4 linked regions of the Arabidopsis thaliana genome follow. The protein of the gene in region 4 interacts with the protein of the main gene of each other region in a biochemical or structural test. Each region holds a gene or a part of one and is shown on either strand. Other genes may lie near its edges. The genes, in order: RING1, CMT3, LIF2 and TFL2.

Evidence for each region.
Region 1: the proteins of TFL2 (region 4) and RING1 form a complex in vitro, tested with the Arabidopsis thaliana proteins (one study listed by BioGRID).
Region 2: the proteins of TFL2 (region 4) and CMT3 form a complex in vitro, tested with the Arabidopsis thaliana proteins (one study listed by BioGRID).
Region 3: the proteins of TFL2 (region 4) and LIF2 form a complex in vitro, tested with the Arabidopsis thaliana proteins (one study listed by BioGRID).

The regions. Positions count from the first base shown.
Region 1 is NC_003076.8:3,265,640-3,269,327, reverse strand, and holds RING1 (RING/U-box superfamily protein), read right to left. Parts: upstream 1,694-3,688; 5' UTR 1,510-1,693; coding exon 604-1,509; 3' UTR 515-603; downstream 1-514. Other genes in the region: AT5G10390 (Histone superfamily protein), read left to right, coding at 1-263; AT5G10370 (helicase domain-containing protein / IBR domain-containing protein / zinc finger protein-like protein), read right to left, coding at 2,140-3,362, 3,574-3,688.
Region 2 is NC_003070.9:26,247,680-26,255,456, forward strand, and holds CMT3 (chromomethylase 3), read right to left. Parts: upstream 6,009-7,777; 5' UTR 5,841-6,008; coding exon 5,625-5,840; intron 5,496-5,624; coding exon 5,458-5,495; intron 5,341-5,457; coding exon 5,238-5,340; intron 4,724-5,237; coding exon 4,616-4,723; intron 4,530-4,615; coding exon 4,410-4,529; intron 4,307-4,409; coding exon 4,207-4,306; intron 4,096-4,206; coding exon 3,887-4,095; intron 3,797-3,886; coding exon 3,731-3,796; intron 3,655-3,730; coding exon 3,397-3,654; intron 3,305-3,396; coding exon 3,246-3,304; intron 3,164-3,245; coding exon 3,097-3,163; intron 2,865-3,096; coding exon 2,535-2,864; intron 2,458-2,534; coding exon 2,389-2,457; intron 2,320-2,388; coding exon 2,233-2,319; intron 2,145-2,232; coding exon 2,057-2,144; intron 1,950-2,056; coding exon 1,834-1,949; intron 1,728-1,833; coding exon 1,623-1,727; intron 1,544-1,622; coding exon 1,500-1,543; intron 1,404-1,499; coding exon 1,334-1,403; intron 1,181-1,333; and 5 more. UniProt on the Arabidopsis thaliana protein: Involved in the CpXpG methylation (e.g. CHG cytosine) and in gene silencing. Methylates preferentially transposon-related sequences. Functionally redundant to DRM1/DRM2 to maintain non-CpG methylation. Involved in RNA-directed DNA methylation.
Region 3 is NC_003075.7:350,008-355,766, reverse strand, and holds LIF2 (RNA-binding (RRM/RBD/RNP motifs) family protein), read right to left. Parts: upstream 3,799-5,759; 5' UTR 3,571-3,798; exon of another isoform or gene 3,360-3,570; intron 3,016-3,359; exon of another isoform or gene 2,986-3,015; coding exon 2,554-2,985; intron 2,467-2,553; coding exon 2,350-2,466; coding exon of another isoform or gene 2,314-2,349; intron 2,250-2,313; coding exon 2,109-2,249; intron 2,030-2,108; coding exon 1,850-2,029; intron 1,752-1,849; coding exon 1,550-1,751; intron 1,412-1,549; coding exon 1,230-1,411; intron 1,133-1,229; coding exon 1,047-1,132; intron 950-1,046; coding exon 802-949; 3' UTR 519-801; downstream 1-518. Other genes in the region: AT4G00840 (DHHC-type zinc finger family protein), read left to right, coding at 24-89, 168-284; iqd17 (IQ-domain 17), read right to left, coding at 4,460-5,236, 5,316-5,459, 5,584-5,759. UniProt on the Arabidopsis thaliana protein: Transcriptional activator that binds DNA on GAGA-like motif and 5'-(C/G)ACGTG(G/T)C(A/G)-3' consensus motif in the promoters of target genes.
Region 4 is NC_003076.8:5,826,666-5,831,613, reverse strand, and holds TFL2 (uncharacterized protein), read left to right. Parts: upstream 1-1,853; 5' UTR 1,854-2,076; coding exon 2,077-2,436; intron 2,437-2,749; coding exon 2,750-2,775; intron 2,776-2,855; coding exon 2,856-2,963; intron 2,964-3,075; coding exon 3,076-3,831; intron 3,832-3,913; coding exon 3,914-3,974; coding exon of another isoform or gene 3,975-3,992; exon of another isoform or gene 3,993-4,062; coding exon 4,063-4,110; 3' UTR 4,111-4,443; downstream 4,444-4,948. Other genes in the region: AT5G17700 (MATE efflux family protein), read left to right, coding at 1-6, 111-229, 327-413, 494-589; AT5G17680 (disease resistance protein (TIR-NBS-LRR class)), read right to left, coding at 4,461-4,948.

The sequences.
Region 1 (3,688 bases), 2.6 Mb from region 4:
GAGAGATCAGGAAGTATCAGAAGAGCACTGAGCTTCTGATCCGTAAGCTTCCTTTCCAGCGTCTGGTTCGTGAGATAGCTCAGGATTTCAAGACGGATCTGAGGTTTCAGAGCAGTGCTGTTGCTGCTTTACAAGAGGCTGCTGAGGCTTACCTTGTTGGTTTGTTTGAAGACACTAATCTTTGCGCCATTCACGCTAAGAGGGTCACCATCATGCCTAAGGATATCCAGCTCGCGAGGAGAATCAGAGGAGAAAGAGCTTGAAGACTGTTGTTATGGTTTATATCTTTTGATTTAGTTCGTCAATGGAACTCTATTTCTGGATTTTGATTTGCGTTTTAGTAGTAATGGGTTCTTGTAAGTGTTGAGCTTTGGCTCGTTTTAATTTTCAGTTGTTAGGTACTTTGGTTTAGTTAGCCTTGAAGTGTTCGATGAAATACCCCAACGAAACTCTCTCCTGTTTAATAGAACTTATTTTCCTTAATTTCTTTGGTTTTGCTGCTCGTTGATCATATAATATTGAAACATTGAAAGTTTCGATTTATTTCAGATACTGTATATAACACACTAGATATTACATTAAGCTTCAATGTAGTTACACCAATTAACTGGTGTTACCAGTTACGGATGGCATTTGGTTTTGTGGAATCGGTTGTTCGTTCCTTACTCTTCTTGATGATGAGAACAAGTTAGCACTGAAGCTGGTATAGAACTGTCTTCCACTTCTAGTAGCATTGTTAATACCATCGCAAAGTGATAAGCTTCCTCCAATTGAAAACGATCTTCTCACGTTTTCTACTCTTCCTGAGCCACAGTAGTTTGCCAAATCACTTTGTGCCCTTGGAAGAAAAATGTTATGGTTTCTTCTAGATCTGGAACTGTCTTGTCTTCCACGGAGGTCATTGCTCGATTCAGAATCTGGTTGATGATTCGTCTCTGTTTCTTGATGAGGTGGTTCAGTGATAAGAAGTACAGGGGCACGACATAAAGGACAGTTCTTGTGAGAGAGCAACCAAGTGTCGATGCAATTTAGATGAAAGGCATGGCTACACTTTGGTAACAGTCTCAGCGACTCGTCTTCTTCAAACTCGTTTAAGCAGACAGAGCATTCTGTGCCGTCGATTATCCCTTCTCCCTTTTTGAATCCAACGACTGTGATCGAGTTGATCGCGGAACGGTGGAGACCGACGGTTGGGATTTGCCAAACGTGATGAAAGTCGGAGAAATCTCTCTCCTCTGTTTCGTCCTCATCTTCCTGTTGGTTTGTGTCACCGGGAGTTACGCTGGCGGCTGAAATCCGCCGTTGTTGCGTGATGTGGAGGTAGAGGAAGAAGACTAGAAATAGAAAGAGTATGATTGAGCCGACGACGCAGATCGAGGTGGGGAGTAGGAGAGAGAGCTCCCTCGGTGGCGGTGGTGGTGGTGGCGGGGGAGGGTATTGCCGGAAACAAAAGCGTAAATCTTTAAACTGTAGACATGAAAGAAGCATTTTTCTGTGATTAAACGCCATTGTAGGAGTTCAGAGACGACATAAACAGAGCAAAAACAGAGGACTTTACTTTCAGACACAACTAGTAGAAAACAGAACAAGAACAGGGGAAAATGGGTATGACACACAATTCCAAGTTTTTGCTTCTGATGAAAGCAAAAAGAAATAGGACACTAAAACCCACAAAATGGGTTAGAATCTAGACAAGAGTCATGACCCAAAAAATCTTCGTGAGGAAATAAGTGGGTACACAGCCACACACATCACAATCTACAAGACTAGGAATTAGAGAGGATTTGTCCTTTTTAAGGGTTGGAAAGTGGGTGGAAATTTCCTGAAAGTGATAACGCCATTAAAGGCGATGTCTCTGTATGTTAGGAAGTAGTTTCCTTTCAACTTAGTAAACTCTCTGTAGACATTTACGCGTAATCAGTCATGTAGCGAGTCAAGTAAGTCTTTCATTTACAACAATCTTAATTTATTTGGCATCCGGTTTAGATTATGATCGGTTTTTTCAGTTGGTTAAAGAAGGTATAACTACCGAACTACACTATCTTCACATATGTACACATTAAGCATACCAGATGTTACAGAATATAGATACATAGGTCCGGTCTAGTCGGGCTGGGCAACGGGGTCCTCTGGGACACCTTACTCGACTAATCCGATTCCACCATGAATTGTCCTTAAATGGGCATAACAAGGTTCTTCTTGAGTGAAGACGTCTAAGCAGGTCCAACAAATGTGCTTTCCACACCGGCACTTCATATGGTTACACCCATCAGTCTTCTCTATCGTCGACTTGCAAATCGGACACTCCTTTACGTTCTTCCCTTTTGCCCAGTCCTTTAGCGACAAGTCCGGATTTTCCTTGAACTTTTTGTACCTTTCACAAGTGATTAACGGGTGATACTCGAGGTGACACCTTGTGCATATTTCTGAGTGACATGCTCCACAGATGAATGGCTCACCAGATTCTTGAGGTCCAGCTACACGGTAGACGGAAGGGCAATCAGGTGTGGAGCAAAACCTGAACTTTCCATCACTGGATGTTACAAAAGAGGACAAGGATGCGCTGAAGAGTTCATCGAGCTTCTCTTGTGATAAGAGGGCTCTCATATCAGCGAGTACTATTGGAGCTCCACAGTCTATGTGAGAACAAAGTATTGGGAATGCGTCAAAGTTTCTCATCGATGCCTCAAATTGCTCCAACAAACAAGCTTTGCAGAAGAGGTGTGAACATCCTTCAAGAGAGTAGCCATCATCAACTTCAGACAAGCAAATGGGGCATTCAACTTCAATCTCATCTGGTTTTTCACCCAGTGCACTCTTTTCTCGTGCAAGTTCATTGACCATCTTTTGTACTTCCTGCCTCATTTCTTTGCTCCCATGAACCTGAATAACATGGTACCGGGTGTTGAGCTTGAGATCCACACCATGCACCTTTTCTTTGATACCTTGGAGCTCCGGACCAAACCGCTTCACAACTTCCTTCATGAGGTCAGGACGGATCTCAGGACCTCGGAGGTGGATTTCAAGTTGCTTGCTCTCATGATAATCCATAAGTGCCTGAATCAGTTCTTGTTCTGCCTTGGCAATTTTCTCACTTGTTCCACAAATGCGTACTGTGAGATTGTGCCTATCTAATAGAATGTAAGTTTCTGTCTCCTGCTGGATCTTCCGCATCAGATTAATACCATCTCTGGACATAAGATGCTGCAGGACTCTACGTGTGAAGCCTGGATGGTTTATGGGTCTTCCTCTTAAGAGTTCTTCAAGTTCTCTCCGCATCTCCGCAACGGGTCTTGTTGCATAAGCAGTAATTTTAACACGATAAGCCCCGTTATGAGTTGGTTCCAGACAGCATTCACCCCCTACAAAAATATAAACAAACGTTAATGCACATCAAAATTTGGACAAGTTCACAGGAAAAATAGGACACCTAAGCTTATGCATCCTTCAAATATCCCTTACCCTACACGATTGTTCTTAATCAATATCGGAGTCAGAAGTAGACATTCAGTAAGGTTATTTGTTGACAGAAAATTAAAGAGCAAAAGATCAAATGTTGTGTAGAAATTTTACCTTTTTGTCTCTCAAACCTTGCTAATAAAACGTTCAATTGTCTTTTGACAGTGTTGTAGATAGAAGCGGAGCAGATTATGGAGCTCTGAAACAATTGTTCGCACTTTATCTTCTG
Region 2 (7,777 bases), on a different chromosome or scaffold from region 4:
ACTAATCAACTTAATCGATGATGCATTTGTATTATTAATAGACCATGCCCGACAATAACGACGATGTTCGAGTAGTGGACCATTCTTGTATTCTATGCAATTTGATTAACTAGTGAGTGTTATATTATAGTCTTTTCTATGATCCATAAACATTGGTTTGTTCTCTATTCTAGTAAAAGTATTTGTTTTACTTCAAGTCTTTAACAATTCTGCTAACTTATTACTTTGATGCTTATTTTTGTATGGTTTTATTCATTCTTAATAACAATTTACCACATCGAAAAAGGAATGTATAGCGTTTTATGTAGAATTGTAAGTTAATGAATTCAAGTACGTTAGGCCAAAAACTTTTTTCCCGCTTAAGAATGTATAGTGTGTTTTATGTAGAATTGAAAGTTACTGAATTGAAAAAGATAGGGTACAGTTAATAATAGGCCTAACTTGAATTCATTCATAAGAGGCACAAAATGTTTACCAAAACAGATCACATTTGCAGTTCGGCCTATTATTAAATGGACCATATCTTAAAAGGCACAAAGTTTTTGTAGCCGAACGAATCCAACATTGCCTTTAATCAAGAAACAGTAATAAAACCGAACCGAAGATGAGTTCTCTTCTTAGACAAAAAGAACGAGAATCCCACAAATCCATAACATCTGATTAAAACAAAGTTACCAGAAATTCAGAGTTGCTAAACTTGAAAGTCGTGAAACTTAAACAAAACAAATCCAAATTCCGCAGCAAATGGTCTAAAGATAAATCCTAGGAAAACAATGAATAGAAGATAAATCGAAAAATGCGATGAATCAACAGTGTTCATGCAAGCTCGGAAGGAAGAGTTGGCTTCATGAATGCAAAACCTTCAGGCAGAGTAAGAAGTGGATCTTTCCCAACTGCGAGTCCCTGGAAAGCTGTTCCCAAAGCATATCCAAGGGCCTTCGCTACTGGCACAGCTACAGCGTTACCTACTTGAATGTACCTGAAAAACAGAAATTATGTAAGATTAGTCTTAAGAACTATAGCAGCAATAAATCCACCAAGAACACACATAAACTCAAGGTCTTAACAATACTCACTTCTGTTTGGGTGGGCCAAAGAGTTTGTAGTCATCAGGAAAGCCTTGGAGTCTCGCATTTTCTCGAATGGATAAAACCCGATTTTGCTCTGGATGAATGATCACCTGCAATCAATCACCAGCAACATCAAACAATTATACTCTTTAAGTTGGTTCCAGTGTAACATGCATACTAATAAATCTATGCAAACCTAGAACACTAGAATAACAACTAGCCAAAATTCAGAACAAATACTTGATTGTCATGAGAGGTCTCACCTGGTTGTGGGGTTCTGCCCGTGTGACAACAGTGGGGACAATTTCGTCCCACCAAAGACGACCAAAAGGTCTGGAAACAGCGAAGGGCTTAAGTCAATTTCCATAACAGAAAACAATAGTCAAATACAGAATTTTCAGAGACGAAGAAAAGAGAATTAAAACTCACTTGCATGATTTCCCATCGACATATGTTAAGGCATAATCGGGAACCTGTTTGAATAACATAGCCAGCCAATCAGGAGAAAAGTAACTTGATATGAGACCAAAAAAAAGAGATGATCATTCTTACCAATGTTTTTCCAGATTCAAGTTTGACCCTTTCCTTTCCCTCTTCCAACTTGACTACATTACCAGGTCCAACAATAACACCAGGAAAGTCCCTAAAATTCGCTCCCTGATACCAAAAGATGTTTTGAAATAATCAGAATATTCCTAGACACTAAAACAGACCAGAGCCAAAAAAATATATGATCGTCAATCGAGTATAAAGAAAGTTGTACCTTTCTCTTGGGGACCTGACAAACCCGTTCATAGTCATTTATATTAAGATTAAGAGGGTGATGATCATATAAGACATGCTTTTTGGACTTGGACTTTGATTGTGAACCTGACGCTTCTGTTGAAAAAATTCAGAAACAATTTGTTAATGAACATCAGTTGCCATAATAGTTGTCAAATATATGTTTTTACACTGTTTGCCCAAAAAAATAATAAGAATCTTACCATCCTTTCTCAATCTGATGAACTTTTGAAATGGCGTTGTGGGATCTTTGTCATATGTAATCTCGTCTCTTTTTTCACTGTTGGCAACCTAATACAAAAACATAGGAAGTAAGAAAATATTCAAGACAAACTGTACCTAATTTTAGTCAAAATTTGCTAAAAACATCAATACTTACTGCAGGAAGATCAGAAATCACATCCTTCAACAAAAGCTTGTCTGCTAACTTCACAGTATGTCCTTCATCATAGGCTACTATGTTTCCCTGCATTAGTTACAAATAAATATGAGAATTTGCTAAAACAAATTGAAAGGTACTAATATACCAGTTTACCTGAAACTCCTTGACAATATTTCCTCTATGAACTAGATCATGTGTTGGAAGTGGGAACTGCGGAATTATCTGAAACAGAAAGATACAAATTAAGAACAGCATCTATTCATTAATATAAAACAAAGAGAAAACATTAAGAATTTTACCTCACTAGGGAGTGCACCCCATAGAAAGAACCTCAAACGAAACTGAGCAAGCCCATAAGCTCCAGCTGCCATCATTCCATTCCTCACTTGGTAATTCATCTGTAGAAGGCGTCCAACAGCAAACCGTGCAAGATAGCCCTTAGCCATCTTCAGCATGTCAACGACGTTTTCCATCAAAACGAACTTAGGCTTCAAATATTCTACAATGTTCATATACACCAAAAGCTGCTTGTTTTTCTGATCTTCTAGAGGGTCCAATAAGTTCCTGAAGCGGTTGTGACCACTGATTCCTTGGCATGGTGGCCCACCGCAGACAACATCAACACCTCCCTAAACATCAACAACATATAAACAATGTCAGGATATTGCTCTAAACATCAACTGTTCTGTGACTAAATCTATCACCCCTCAACAATTAACTGACGCAGAACAACATAAGACCCATAGAACTTATCACATACAATAACTTAGATTATTGGCTTTTAGATTAAATATCTGAAAATTATGCACTAGCTTCAGAAGTTTAAGGAAAGCAAAAGAATCAGGTATAAAAAATACATACTGGTAACGGAAGGATGCCAGATTTATATCCAAGTTTAACGAACTCTTCAATTTTACCCCGGCAATTACTGTTCAAGGACAAATTTAGAGATTTTAACAACGCATTAACATATATAACTTTAATGCAAACATTCTTAATGTTTTGCTCACCTGAGTCCTTCAATAGGCTCCCATGTATCATGAGAATCATCATAATTCAGCCACCTTACCTATTATATCAAAACACCAGAGATGATTAACTATATAACAAGGCTAAACCATGAGATGTAATGTGAAATTTGTACAAGCAGAGCAACAATACCTTCAAATAAAGTCCACGTTTCAATAACTTTTTAGGGACTCCGAAGGAAATACCAACAATCTTGTCAACAGTAAAAACTTCTCCATCATCTTCATTTTCACTCTCCTCGCTGACATCTTCATTGTCCTCAACATTATTCAAACCGTGAAGGTTGGCATATTCTTCTGAATTTGGACTATTTCTCAAAGAGAAATGAATGCATAGCTTCTCCCACTCCTTAAGCAGAAACAAGAAATCTTCTGCGGTCATGTTTCTCACCTAAAATGAAATGATTTAGGCTCTTGAGAATTTCTGTAGTCAATCGAATTGGGAGAAAGGAAAACTAAAAACTTACGTTTGTCTCTGGGTGGTTATGCTGCAAGCTTTTACATGCATGTGCATTCATGTCAACAGCCCATTTCTTGAGAATCATTTTAAAAAAAAAGCAAAAGTTAAGCATTGAGAGATTAAACAAATCTGAGAAGATTATTAGCAAGCAAAAATGACTCACAGTGACGAGGTTCAAACCAGACAGTTGTGCACCCATGCACAACCCTGTCGACATAGCTCCACAGCCGGAGTAAAGGTCAAGCAAAGTTGCCTTTTTGTGACCTTCTGTTTCTTGAGAACATTCTCCAATCTCTGATATGGCAGCAGCTCCTTCTCTTATATCAGTATCACTGGATATTGTTGAACTTTCACTTATAGCCATCATGGTTTCTGCACAATTGAAAGATCTGTAAATGCTTAGTTATCTTCAAAAACTGCAGCATTTTATCTAATCCAGTTGGCAGTTTCTAAACTTGAAGATCAATTGTTAAAAGCACTAACCTTGTTGTATAGCTTCAAATGTATCGTAAGGCAAGAAATAGTTCATGTCACAGAAAAAGTCACAGTTTTCTGTTGCAGGGATAGTCTCTTTAGTATTTTCCTGGCATGAGAAACAAAAATAAGTTCAGTATCAATGGAAGATTGTACTAAGATACTGTATACCAAAAGCATACACTACAAGTAACAGTGAAGTAAGAACATACATTCAAGGGAATCATCAAAATGTTCAGCTTCTTTTCAAGTAATCCCAATTCATTTGTATCTTGTATCTCAGAGAAAAACACACGCTTTTTCTTGATCAGAATCTCGAACTCTTTCATTACCTGAAAGTTAAGAATAGAAAAAAAACTTCAGACAATTCAACATAGATTAAAGAGAAAGTGAAGAAGAAGATTTTTTTTATTCTTACAGTATCAGAAGGTCTATAAAACCACCGAGCCGTGAAATACAGTTTCCCATTAGCCCCTTCAAACATTTCAATGATTTTACAAATGAAGGGATCCTTTCCCTCACCAGACTGCACAAAAATTACAAAACTCAGTTGTTAAAAACAGAAGTTATATATGGTAAAGCATCTACCTACGCTGTACGAAAAACATAAAACAACATGATAAACGTTCATATAGCCAATGCATAATATGCAATGCCAGTCTAAATAACAATCAGCTAGTTATTGTTACAGATGAGAACTCAGCTTCGAAAGGTAACTACTATCATAAGGACTTGGAGATATACAAAGCATGACAAACAGAGACAATGCACAAATATTTATTGCGGACAGTTGATAGTGGTGAGGGAGGAGAATGTGATCAACTTTGGTTAATTATTTACCCTACACATCAAAATTTTCTACACAGTAAAACCATGTTGGCACATTAAAAAAGTGGTAAAACCTCAATAGTCATCAAACTCAAACACCAAGAAACACAATGTCATGCACATTCTCCTCTCTAACTCATTTTCTTCAATGTACCACATAAATCTACGCTTTAAAATGTAACAAATGCAATTTAGACGTAATAGAGTCATACCTGTACATAAGCATCATCATTCAGCTCATATATCTGACGCTCATCAACAATCGCACGTCTATAATGGCATCGAGCACGAATGATCTCAACTTTTTCGTCATCCCTACAAAACGAATTCACTTAATCAACTATTTACGAAACAAAAAACATTTCTAATCAAACAAAAGTAAAGCCTCTCAATCTGACTATACACAAGAACCAAAGGATTCAAGGAACTTACTTCGTCTTCTTTCTTGACGAAGCCTTAGGTGGCTGTACCTGAAACAAAACAAACAAAAAATCCTTCAGAAATCAACAGATCTGCAACAAATCTCAGCAAATTTCAACTAGATCTAACTATTTCATACACAAACACCCAAAATTCCAGTTTCCGATGTATGAAATTACCTCAATCGGTTTGTATCTGTCAGGCCAGGTACTCTTCGCTTCAGATTCTGGAATTGGCTCGTCTAGAAACCTCGCAACATGCTTTTCCCCTTCCTCGACCACTGTCACCGGCTCTTCTTTCACCGTCTTAGCTCGCTTAGGAGCTCTCTTCTTCGGTTTGGGAATGGATTTGGTAGTGTCATCCTTTGTCGCAGGTCTCTTTCGCTTCGGCGCCATGATTGAGTCAGAGAATCGAAGGAAGCTAAAGAGACGAAGGAAGATAAAGAGACGAAATGAAACCCTAGGAAGCGGGGGTGTGACGAGTGTGAGGACTAAATAATCTGAGATTGAGGGCGAAATAAGCGCGTCACATAAGCGCCAAAGTGATGGGTTTCGAAATTTTCGTGGAATTGTTTTATTTTTATAATGAATTTAAAACGTTTGGGCCTAATAAAAGTTTTGAGGCCCATCTCTTTCTCTCGCTATAATGAGTACACAAATGTCAAAAAAATTAGTAGAAAAGTTTTTTCTTTCTATATCTATCTATGATTTTAGTAAATGTGTTAGTGTGAATTTAATTTCGTTTGGAATTCTTCCCACAATCTTAGCTATCTATGATTTGTTTTTAATAAATGTTAAAAGATTACACAAATGGGTTCATTCCCGGGGTAGTCAACATCGACTCTACGAAAGATCTAATCATTTTTGGACAATTTCAGAATTTTTTTTAGCACTCTCCCTTTCTTACACATGAAGCACAAGTTGTAAAAAAGTATATGTTTTTTTTGAATATAATTTGACATTACATTAAAAAAAAAAAAAAAAAGATTACACAAATGTTCAGTTTTTAATAAATTATCACTTTCTATATTGGTTTGGAATTATTCCCACAATCTTAGTGATCAGGTCAATTTTGTATATATTTCCAGAAATAAACATATCAGAAAGAAAAAAAGTTACATTTCTAAATGACTCGCATTAAAGATGATGTTACACAAATGTTATTAGACATTATTTATTTTCCATATTTGTATATGATTTGTAACTATGTGTTTTGGATTTGAATAAATTCCCACAATCTTAGTGATCATATCAAATTTGTAGATCTTTCCAGATATAAACATATTGAATTATTCAAACACAATCGTATCCTATCTCCATGATTCTTTTATTTAATCCTACCAACATCAAGACTAGTAGTAAATTAGTTACTCGGTTACTCCACAAACGGCGTGGCGCGTAAGATAAAACTTTAGTGTGTAACGATGGAAATCTTTATGGAATTACACATTCCTATCAAAATTTTTTTTGTGTGGATAAAACTCCTATACACTTGGAACGACTAAACAACAAACCGAACGTGTGATCGTAATCTTGTTCATAATAAAAAAAAAAAAAACGTGCAAACGTGAAATGGTAACATGAAGGAGAACATGATACTCTTATTAGCTCCTTTATTCCAGGAAATCGAGCAGTGACATTATTTGCAAATAACTGAAATTTAAAGAAGAAAATACGTTAATCTCATCACTATTAGACCTGAAAATTACTCTAACTAGTAACTACTAATTACAATAACTTTTATATATATCCAACAAGGCAACAATATAAGTTTATATATGGACGTGTGTATAATTGTGTCCTTAAATATATTAGATTGAAGGCATATTAATGACGAGTGAATGAAAGAGAAGTGTACAAGAATAGAATAATATGGATGTCGAAATGAGAAGTAGCCTTTGTCGTGATGGCTGAAATTAGCCCAACTTTTGGGCCTTATTTCTTGTCATGGGTCCACTATGTCTTCTTTGCTGTATTTACATGTTTGTGTTTTGCAACATATGAACACCACCCTTTTCTCCAAAACTAGGAAAACATATATCAATTAATGTATTTCAAGTATTGACGTAAATTTTCTTTTTAAAATAATGAATACGAATGACATAATCATAGAGGATTTATGCAAGTGTTTGTATTAGTAGTGTCTCTGTATCACCATCTTGATCTAAAACATGTAGAATGCATATAGGCCTGAATAAAAAACAATAAACATGCATCACACACGCACACGTATATATATATTTATGTCTAAGTTTTTCATATATAAAGTATTTTACACTATGCAGCTAGTTCGCTAGGACTAGGAGTGGTGTGACACGAGAGGAGGGACATAT
Region 3 (5,759 bases), on a different chromosome or scaffold from region 4:
GAATCATTGTCTTATTTTTTTAGGTTCATGAGAAAAATGGAGAAGTCAGATGGAAATATGACTTAGGAAAGAAGAAAAACTTCGAGCAGGTGAGATTTTATTGTTTTCATCATTCCATGGATTGTTAGTTAATTAAATATATAACTCTTTGTTTTCATCTTGTGAAGGTTTTTGGGAAGAAGAAGGCGTTTTGGCTCCTCCCATTGTACTCTAAAGACGATATCGATAACATAACTTCCCTTGAAGGCCTTGAATTTCCAACTTGTTCTGACATCGACCCTTGATTGAAAGTTGAAACAAAATCAATCAATCATATTCGAAACAGCCTTCAACTGCACTCCAATGTAGATAACTCTCTACTCAAAAAGAATTCTCATTGCCAATTGTTGTTGTATTATTGTAATTGATTTGATTCATTTCTTTGCTTCTTGTTGAAAGTCTAAGTTCGTTTGACATCTTCAGACTGTAATGTTATGTGATGAGACCCAGTGATAACTTGTTGTATAAGTAAACAACGTTGCACAAGGGCTAGGGAAAGCAAAAACACCAAATCTGATGGATAATTGATAAGAGTATTATTCAGAAGAGAAAAAACTAAAAAGTCTCATAATTTAAAGATCGAATCACTCAATCCTATCCCCCCAGCAGTCTCCATATCAAACCAGAAACCATAAGGTTTCGATTTCATATTTTATAACACATGAGAGAGAGCTTTTTAAAGTTCTCCAAAAACAAACTACAAACAAATCCCAATACACTTCTCCTTTTCTTTTTCTACTTGCTTATTTTTCTCTATGGTTACTAGTAGGGTCGGTACCTTCGGCCTCCTCGGTTACCATCATGTTCATGACTGTTATCTCTGCCTGACCCTCCGCTTGAGCCGTTATTCCGGTCATTTCTTCTTGGTCGTTGTGGTGGTGCTGCTGCCATCGGCATACCAGGCTGTTGCCTGCACAGCAATCCATATTGGTTATTTATTAAGCGAAAGTAAATATGAATCAATAGAGAAGGATCAACAAATTTGTTTACAAGAACCATCGACTTACAGAACATAGCCAACTCGGCCATCGGGAAGAAGCATTGGAACCATTTGCATCCCTGTTGGCATTGCTCCTCTACCATAGATCATTGGCTGCTCAATGCAAAATTAAAACCAAACGTTACACAAAACAATGGCTGATAAGACTAGTCAAGGATGACAAACAGCTCTTTCTTAGAAACATATATACCTGACTAAAACTACCGGCAATACCCAAACCGGCACCCATAGCACCGTAAGGAGCCGCAGCAAAACCACCAAACGTGGGATGCACAAAGGGGGCAGGAGTAGGTGCAGCCCCGTAAGAATAAGAAGAAGGGTCATGCTTCCTTTCAGCCTGGGGTTTAGCAAGCACAACTTCTAGTGGTTGACCTGTAGTTTGCAAGTTTGTGGAATGTGTTACTCAATAACATCTCTTGAGACGAAAAAACATACGCCATTAGAGACAAATTGATAGCATAACGTTCATAATACTCAATAGCTGTCTTCTAGATGACTAAAAAAACTTACCATTGACTTCATATCTCTCGGTATCTTTGACAGCCTTCAATGCACTAGATCTTTCAGCATAGTGGACAAACCCAAAATCACGTTTTCCACCCTTTCCAGGAGGTGTAACGATTTTGGTCACTTCTCCATGCCTCTGAAAGAGTTCCTTTAGCTGCTCTGTTGAGGTATTCTCTGGAATATTCTTGACATAAAGGGCTTTCACCTGAGTATATAACGCAAAAGAGATTGTCAAAAAAGTGCCAACTTTGCCAGGAGAGAGGTTTTTGTGCAGATTGACTAAACCCTCTATTTAAATAATACCTGAGCAGCAGCAGCAGAATGCTCAGGAGAGCTTTTTGGGTCTGCCCAAGTCACAGTTGGAGCGTTACCCTCAAGCTTAAAATTAGAATCTATCATTTTCTGTCTTGAATAATCAGCACATGCATTGTTATAGTACAAAACAAATGCAAAACCACGGTTACGAGTGGTATTTGTTGGGTCCTACAAGTAACAAGAAGATAATTAGTAAGGCAATTAAGTAAGATCAAGCATGGCAATCAGATTGATTAAGTCATCTAACTTTTATGAGCTCGATGTTCTCCACTCCAGGACCAACATCCTCTATGACTTTTCTAAACTCATCCTCAGTCCAGTTCTTTGGTATGTTACCAATGAACAACCTATTCTTCGTTTCGGAAAGAGAGCACCTTATGGTTTTTCCCTGTACAAAAATTAGGTATAGGTTAAACAAAATTGTTATAAGTAAAATGCAAACTAGCAATGACCGATAAACTTAAGCTACAGTTAGCAGTTGAGCTTGCCTTAAACTCTTTACTGTGCAACTCCTCAATGGCCTTTTGTGCAACGTCTTTGGTTTTGAAAGCTACAAAAGCATAGCCTTTGCTATCACCAGAGTCCCTATCTTTCATCAGTCTCACCTAATAGAAAAGGAATTAAAATTCAGTCGTAAATACAGAACCAACAAAGAGTATATCATGAAACACAAAGATTATTGCAGTTCGAACCTCAAAGATCTCGCCTATCTCTTCACATAGATCCCTCAGGTCCTCTTCTCCAACATCCCTTGGGAGCCCACCAATAAAAACTTCAGAACCATGAGGAGGAAGTGAAAGAAGGTGGGAATACTTTTCCCTATCTTCATCATCAATAGGAGATGGTGGTTTCTCATCATCATCTGCTGTCTCAATATCAATATGGTTGTCGTCATCTTCAGCTATTTCCTCCTGAACATCTTCCATATCCCCACCTTTTGTATCACCATAATCCTCCACCTCACGTTCTTCGGCATTCTGATTGCCAACGTCATCATCATCATCATCTTCTTCTTCCTCCTCTTCATACTCTTCTACTTGTTCCTCCTCCACTTCATCCTCCATCTCACTGTAGCTACCCTCCTCGAAATCCACACGGTCATCATTATCTCTTGCGTCTGACATCTGGTCATCCAATAACCATACTCTTTTTTAACCACGAAGCTCAGGTAATCACTGTTAAAAAAATGCTATAGGACCATACACCAAAAAAAAAAGCTTATAATGGGTGATATGAGAACTGCTCTTTTTCGTTTAAAAAAATGTGGAGAAGAAAGGATGGTTCAAACTAAATTCAGGTTCTTTTAGTGGCAGAGATACAGAAGAATTGTAGTTCATTGCTATCACGAAACAAGCGTCAAATGAGATAAAAATCAAAACTTTGAAAAAGAGCAGAGTTTTTGTGTATGTATATATATGATTCCAGATCCAAATTGATAACAGAGAGAAGAATCAAGCCATAACCGAAGCAACCAATGAAATTAGAGATCGTAACTCACACATCTCTCCAGAAAGCAAATTACTCACCAGTTAAGCTCAGAAATAAAAATCTGAACTTGAAACAGTCTGAGAAAGAAACTAGGGTTTATCCTTTTTTTTTTATATTGTTTGGGGGAGGGTAACAAAATCGAAGAAGATGAGAAGTATTTATATGAAACAACCAAAACAAATGTATAAGAAAAGTAGAAATGGAGAATTTTCTCGGCATACCAGACCGTGTTTGTTTTCGAATTGGGGAAATTGGTATTTCGTGTTGTGGGAAATTAGGGATTTCGCTTCGGTTGTCCGACGAATACTGTTTTACTCAAAAAACAAAACTTCGTCGGCTATTTCTCGATCTCCGGTAGAAGAAGATGAAGACACTCCTTACCCACTCGTGGGCTATGATCACATGTTACGCACACATTAACCCTAAATCAAAACGCTTTTTAAGCCCACTGTTTTTATTGGGCCTAGTGTTTTCTAGTTCTTTATTATACCTGTTTAAAAAATTCGTGATTTTGCCAGCCCTGCCGTTTTCTTTGGTGATATGAAAACTACGTGCTGTTTTAAAATTATTCCATTTCAGAAGCATTTAATTTATATTTAGGTGGATATAGAGTAGTAGTGTATAACGTAGAAGACAAGACTGATCATGTAGGAATCATGTCACATGGGTAATGTTCCTTGCTCGTGGATCTCAAGTTGCAAAGTTGCAGCTTTTTTTTATGGTTTTCTTAACAACTTCACTTTGCATGTAAAAACAAATAAGGCCAGTGAAAATTTTCGTTATTTTATACTAAAAAGATTCCATATAATTAACAAAGATACCATGACAGATTGATAAACTATTGTTCACATCCTAATTGCAACATTTATAGATAAAAATATGAGCATACATATTTATATAGAGATTAGTTAGTAAACACTTCCAATTATAAGCTACAAATTCACACACACAAACATAAACACAAACAAAATTACACACCAATCTCAAAGATCATCAATAAAAACTGAAAAAGTTATGGTTCTTTTTGTCAAATTGTTTTTATTTATATATAACAAAAAAAAAAAAGGGAGGAAAAAAATCATGACCGGTTGATTTGGTTGGATTATGGAATCATCTTAACCATCGCCTATAATCGCTAGTAGAAGCAGGTGATATCTCTCCACCACCACCAAGAGACTCAGTACAACAAGAAGAGTAATTTGATTGTTGTTCCAATGCACCCAATTGTGAGCCACCTATACTCTTGAAACTTGGACTCCTTAAACTCTGACCATCCATTTGCTGCGGCAGCGGTGGAACTGGAAACGAAAGCCGTTTTCTAGCTGAACTGATACGTTCTTTCTCGGGTGTTGAAGGCCGTTGCCTTGGTGCACTCTGAGACCGGATTCTAGCCTTAGCAGATTCCGTAATCGCCATGTAGTTTGGCAATGCAGCATTTGTAGCAGTAGTAGTAGTGGTACAAACACTATAACCACTTCTTGCTGTGAAACTATAGTTAGATCTCAAGCTAGGTGTGTTTGATGTGTAGTTGTACGCTGACCGATCATCTCTTTGGATCCGCGGACTAGCGGATCGAATTTGTATCGGTCTAGATTTAGCCGGAGATGGTGTAGCTGATGAGAAATTGTGTTGTTGGTAATGGTGGCTGGTCCTTGATGGTGAACTAGGCCTTTGGCTACGGCTTGGACTTGCACCGGTTCTCGAGTTACCGCGGGTTAAATACGGTTGAGAAGTATCGATCTCCACGGTTTTGTAAACCGGTGGTACTCTTTGATCCGTTGAAGCTCGTTTATCCCACGGTTTAGAAGCCATCCATCTGTCTAACCATTTCGGTCTCTCTTCTTCATACTCGTCTCCTGTAGAATAACTACCTCTTGTTCTCCGAACCTTTCACCGAAATCAAACACCGAAACGAATCAAATTACCGAAAACAAACAAACGATTAATATGAATTCATATCTATTACCTGGTGAGAGAAAGCTTGTGATATACTATTGTTACTCTCACGTCTCAACGCATTGTCTCGTCTTTGTTGCAACATTGCTTTCACTTCCTCAATCGTGTGTGGTCGATCATCCCAATCTTCCGCAATGCTACTTCCTTCTCTTGACTACACAACAACAAAAAAGGCATTTCAAAATGTTAGCTTTATATAGCTGATTGCTGAAACAGAGCAAAAATGGTCGTTGAAACAGAGCAACAATGGTGTTCTGAAACTTATAGAGATCACTCACCATGGATCTTCTGTCTGATATTTCTTGAAGATAACGAGATTCGAGCACACTTTGAGTGTCGCTGAAGGCAGATTTGCGACTACCATCGTGAGACAAGCGTTTCCGTTGGTCAAGCACACGAGATTGGACTCGAACTAGAGCTTGCATACACCTTAAAGTCATCTTTGCTTGCTTCC
Region 4 (4,948 bases):
TATCTGGTTACAAAATAAAACCCTTATATTAGACATAAATAAATTATAACATAAACTTTTAGATTTCACTAATTTGTAACCACTAAATTTGTTTGAACATATATAAACAGGGGTAGCAATTGGAGCAGGGATGCAGAGTATGGTAGCATTAGTGAACTTAGCATCTTATTATGCAATTGGTGTTCCTTTAGGTGTCCTCCTTGTTTACGTTTTCAATTTTGGGATTAAGGTACATCATATATATGAAAACTGGTATCCAGTACTTCATTATGATCAATCATTAGAACTTTTAGAATTTTAACTTGAATAAATGATATTGTATGCAGGGACTCTGGTCCGGAATGTTGGCTGGAGTTGGTATCCAAACGTTGATATTGTGTTATGTTATTTACAAAACTGACTGGGAATTGGAGGTAATTTACTTTTAATATATAACTCAAAATTTTTATTAGAAAATTCGTCATATTAAATGTATAATTTTATCTAATTACAGGTTAAGAAGACAAACGAGCGTATGAAAACGTGGACTCTAAATTTACCTGCTGTACAATCGACTACTATCTCCACAAGAGATGAAGAGAGAAAGTGAACATACAACTAAGTTAATTTAAAGAAATCTTTTAAGAAATTCTTTATAAAAAAAGAAAGAATAATTTATGTTGTATTGTGGTTGTGTTTTGCATTCCCTAAGAATGAAGTATCGGTGTTGAGATTGCATTATTAGGTTAATGCAACTCTCATAACTTTGAAAAAGGTTAAGAAGGATGAACTTTTTCTTTTATCAGAGAAAAAGGTTGTTCTCTTGTTCTTCGGATATACTCTTTCTAAACAAAAAAAAAATTGTGGGAGGTTTGAAATTTTAACTTCTTTCTTGATTTTTTAATGGATGTATATTTTGTGTGTGGGGAAAAAAATTCCATTTGTTTGAGTGCTTGTAATCGTGAATTTTTACAAAAAAAATATTCTCATATATATTTCGAGGAAACGTTACAAACTTTCATAAGCTCACCATCAAATAAAATACTCATTTATTTATGTTGAAGTCAAAACGTTCCATTTTTCCCCCTATTTATGAACCGATCCTAATGAATGTTTTTTTTCTTCCTTTTTACTTCTTTCATATCACCATTTTAAATAATAATAGTAATTATTATTTTTCTAACGTTTAAACAAAAAAAGAACTGCAAATTTTATAGTAACAATTCAAATTTAACAAAGCGATCAAAACATGCATCATTTAGTGTACAAGTACTAATCACAAAGAAACAAGTTTTGGTTGGACAAAGTATAGAACAAACACACTAAACTGAAGAAAATAGAACTTTAGCCCACCAAAAGTTGAGGCTAAAACTCGAGCAGTAATCACATAGTTACTATCAAGATAACTATACTTTGGAATGAAAGAATCTGAATCTCGATGAAGTTTATCTTGGAGAAGGACTTTCTTTTCTGTTGGTTTGGATGAGATATTGCTGAAAATTATTGATGATGATGTTAGGAGATCCAACTAAGTTGTCTGCCTTTGCAGTGCACTTGGAGACTTGGAGTGAGAATCTTAGTTTATGAGACTTATTTTCTGATTTTTCAATCTCCTTTGATTTTTTTTTAAGTTGTAATAATGTCCTAGTTGATTTCCTTGTAAAAGGAGCAAGAGCACGATGTTCTTTTATTTCTAATTTAAAGAAAATGTTTTCAGTTTAATATATTTTTCGATTTAATTTACCTTCACATATTTTCTTCAGTAGTATTTATTATTTTCATATTAGTAATTAGAAATAATCTCTTCTAATTAGATTATAAACGTTAAGAATTTGCTGTATTCAACTTTTCCTATTGTGATATTAAAAAAAAAAAAAAAAAAGAGAATCCAAAAAAGTGAAAAAACTGGTCTTTGAGGTCAGGTCAGGTCTTCTTCCTGCAAAAACAAAAACCTCAGAAATAGAGAAAAAGTTTCAATCTTTCTTCATCTTCTTCCTCCAAAATCCTTGATTTCTAAAAAGGAGAAGAAGAGAAGAGAACGCGATTACCTTGATTCACCCTCCTCCTTCAGGTTTGGGAGGCTCGAATACTCAGGAAATGAAAGGGGCAAGTGGTGCTGTTAAGAAGAAACCCCAGGTGTTGAACGAAGCTGGTGAGGCGGAGACGGCGGTGGAAACAGTCGGAGAAAGCCGGAAAATTAGTGGAGACGGTGGGTTTGGCAGTGACGACGGCGGAGGGGGAGGTGGAGGTGGAAGTGGAGAGTCGATTCTTCGCGAGATTGGTGATGATAGGCCTACGGAGGATGGAGATGAAGAAGAAGAAGAGGACGAGGATGAAGATGATGGAGGTGATGAGGAAGATGAAGAAGGAGAAGGAGAAGGTGGGCAAGAGGAAAGGCCAAAGCTTGATGAAGGGTTTTATGAAATTGAAGCTATTCGTCGTAAGAGAGTTCGAAAAGTAAGCTCCTTTTTTCGTCTTCACTCAGCAAATGTGGTTTGTTTTTGTTAACCATAATTAGTTGAGGTTTTAGGTTTTCTAGGTTTAAGATAAGTATCAAACGTAGGTTACACATTGGTGTGAGAAAGTGGCTGCTTTAGTAGTTAGTAATCATCGTAACAGAGTAGTTTATAACGAACCAAAGTTTTGATTCTGTGGTTGTTATATGTTGTAGGAAGAAAATGATCTTTAATGTTTGATATCTTCTTGGATTTGATTGATTGAATGATTCTGATTCTGCATTTTGGTACTGTTTTTTTTTTTGTATTTGTAGGGCAAGGTTCAGTATCTAATTAAATGGTGAGTTTTTCTAATCTTACTTGGTTTCATTTTTAAGTTTGTTGTTCTTGATTAAACATATGTTTTTCCATTGACATAAGTTATAAACTCGGTTGTGAAAGGCGCGGATGGCCTGAAACTGCCAACACATGGGAGCCTTTAGAGAATCTCCAGTCTATTGCTGATGTTATAGATGCCTTTGAGGGAAGGTAAGTAAATGGAATCTTATATAAAAGTTTTGTGATACTTTTGAATTGATTGTTTCATGGATTTTCTTGGTTTAATGTATGGATTTGCTTTCTTGTTTCATATGTTTCAAAGTTTGAAGCCAGGAAAGCCTGGTAGGAAACGGAAGCGCAAATATGCAGGTCCTCATTCTCAGATGAAGAAGAAGCAACGTTTAACATCTACATCACATGATGCTACTGAGAAATCTGACTCTTCTACGTCTCTCAACAACTCTAGCCTTCCTGACATTCCTGATCCACTAGACCTAAGCGGTTCGAGTCTATTAAATAGAGATGTGGAAGCGAAGAATGCTTATGTATCCAACCAAGTTGAAGCCAACAGTGGGAGTGTTGGGATGGCCCGACAAGTTCGTTTGATTGACAATGAGAAAGAATATGATCCAACACTTAACGAGCTACGAGGACCAGTCAACAATAGTAACGGTGCAGGATGTTCTCAAGGAGGAGGCATTGGTTCTGAAGGTGATAATGTAAGACCCAATGGCCTTCTCAAGGTTTATCCTAAGGAGCTTGATAAGAACAGTCGTTTCATAGGTGCTAAGCGGAGGAAGTCTGGTTCTGTGAAAAGATTCAAACAAGATGGATCCACAAGTAACAACCACACAGCACCTACAGATCAGAATCTGACACCAGATTTGACTACATTAGACTCTTTTGGTAGGATTGCAAGGATGGGGAATGAATATCCTGGTGTGATGGAAAATTGTAATTTGTCTCAGAAAACCAAGATTGAGGAGTTGGACATCACGAAGATACTTAAACCAATGAGTTTTACAGCATCTGTATCAGACAATGTCCAGGAAGTGTTGGTGACCTTTTTAGCGCTGAGGTTTGTCTCTTTAGCTCTTTGGTCATTTCTCGTAATTTGATTTCATATTTGTACAATTGTACTTATTTGGTTACTCTCATAGGTCTGATGGGAAGGAAGCATTGGTGGACAACAGATTTCTCAAGGCTCACAATCCTCATCTCGTAAGATTATCTTTATAGCTTTTTTTTTCTGCACTTACTCATTTGGAAGTTTCTTATTAGCTTTTCTAATTTGTTTTTCCCACACCAGCTGATTGAATTCTATGAGCAACATCTCAAGTACAATCGAACGCCTTAAATCATCCGGAATGGTAAGAATTTGTTTGTACACAGCCCTTGTAGGTAGAAAAGATTAGATGGCTTCTTTATTCTAGCAGTGCAACATGTAGAGTCGAGGTAGCGACAATTGGATTTTGTATCGCGTCTCCGGGAGGTTTCAGATTGTAATTTATCTCCTCGGGTTCGTTGTGTTCACTCTCTATCTCTATCATAGTAAATCTTGTTACTTGGACCTTTGCTTCTTATAGCGGAAGTTTTCTTGTACTTGCTTCTTCAAAGATCAAGTTCATGATATGTTGATGTTATCAAAATATATGTGATCAATCAATATATAATAATTATGTTTACAAGCAAACCAAGTAATTTTTTTTACTTTCGTATGACATTTCGCTGATGTAATTTGGAATGACGCTCTCGAGCCAAAGGAACTGGAAGAAACTTGATCCTCTTGGGATTTAGTTGTTCCTTATGCAAGAACTCAGTTTCATATGCTCTTCTTTTCAAAATTCTTGCGTCATCAAATGCCTTTGGAAGATCCAAATCAGAACTCTGAATTTTGTCAGAGTCATTAGAGAACTCTTGCATCATGTCTTTGAGTGATATAAGGTGTACCGCACATTTTTTAACCTCTCCAAGCGGGCTAAAGGAATCTCCTTCTGTGTTTTCGACTGAGAATTCAAACAGGGCTTCGCTGTAAGCTTCCATGGACGTGCAGGTTCTGCTGAATAAGAGAAGGTGATCTGATCCAAAATACATGTTTGTGAAAGCTTTTGGATCAGGATACCACACCTCATCCATAACAACCAGCTCACAAGCATCAGCATCTTTTAATATACAAGAGCAGTGTATCTTCAGAT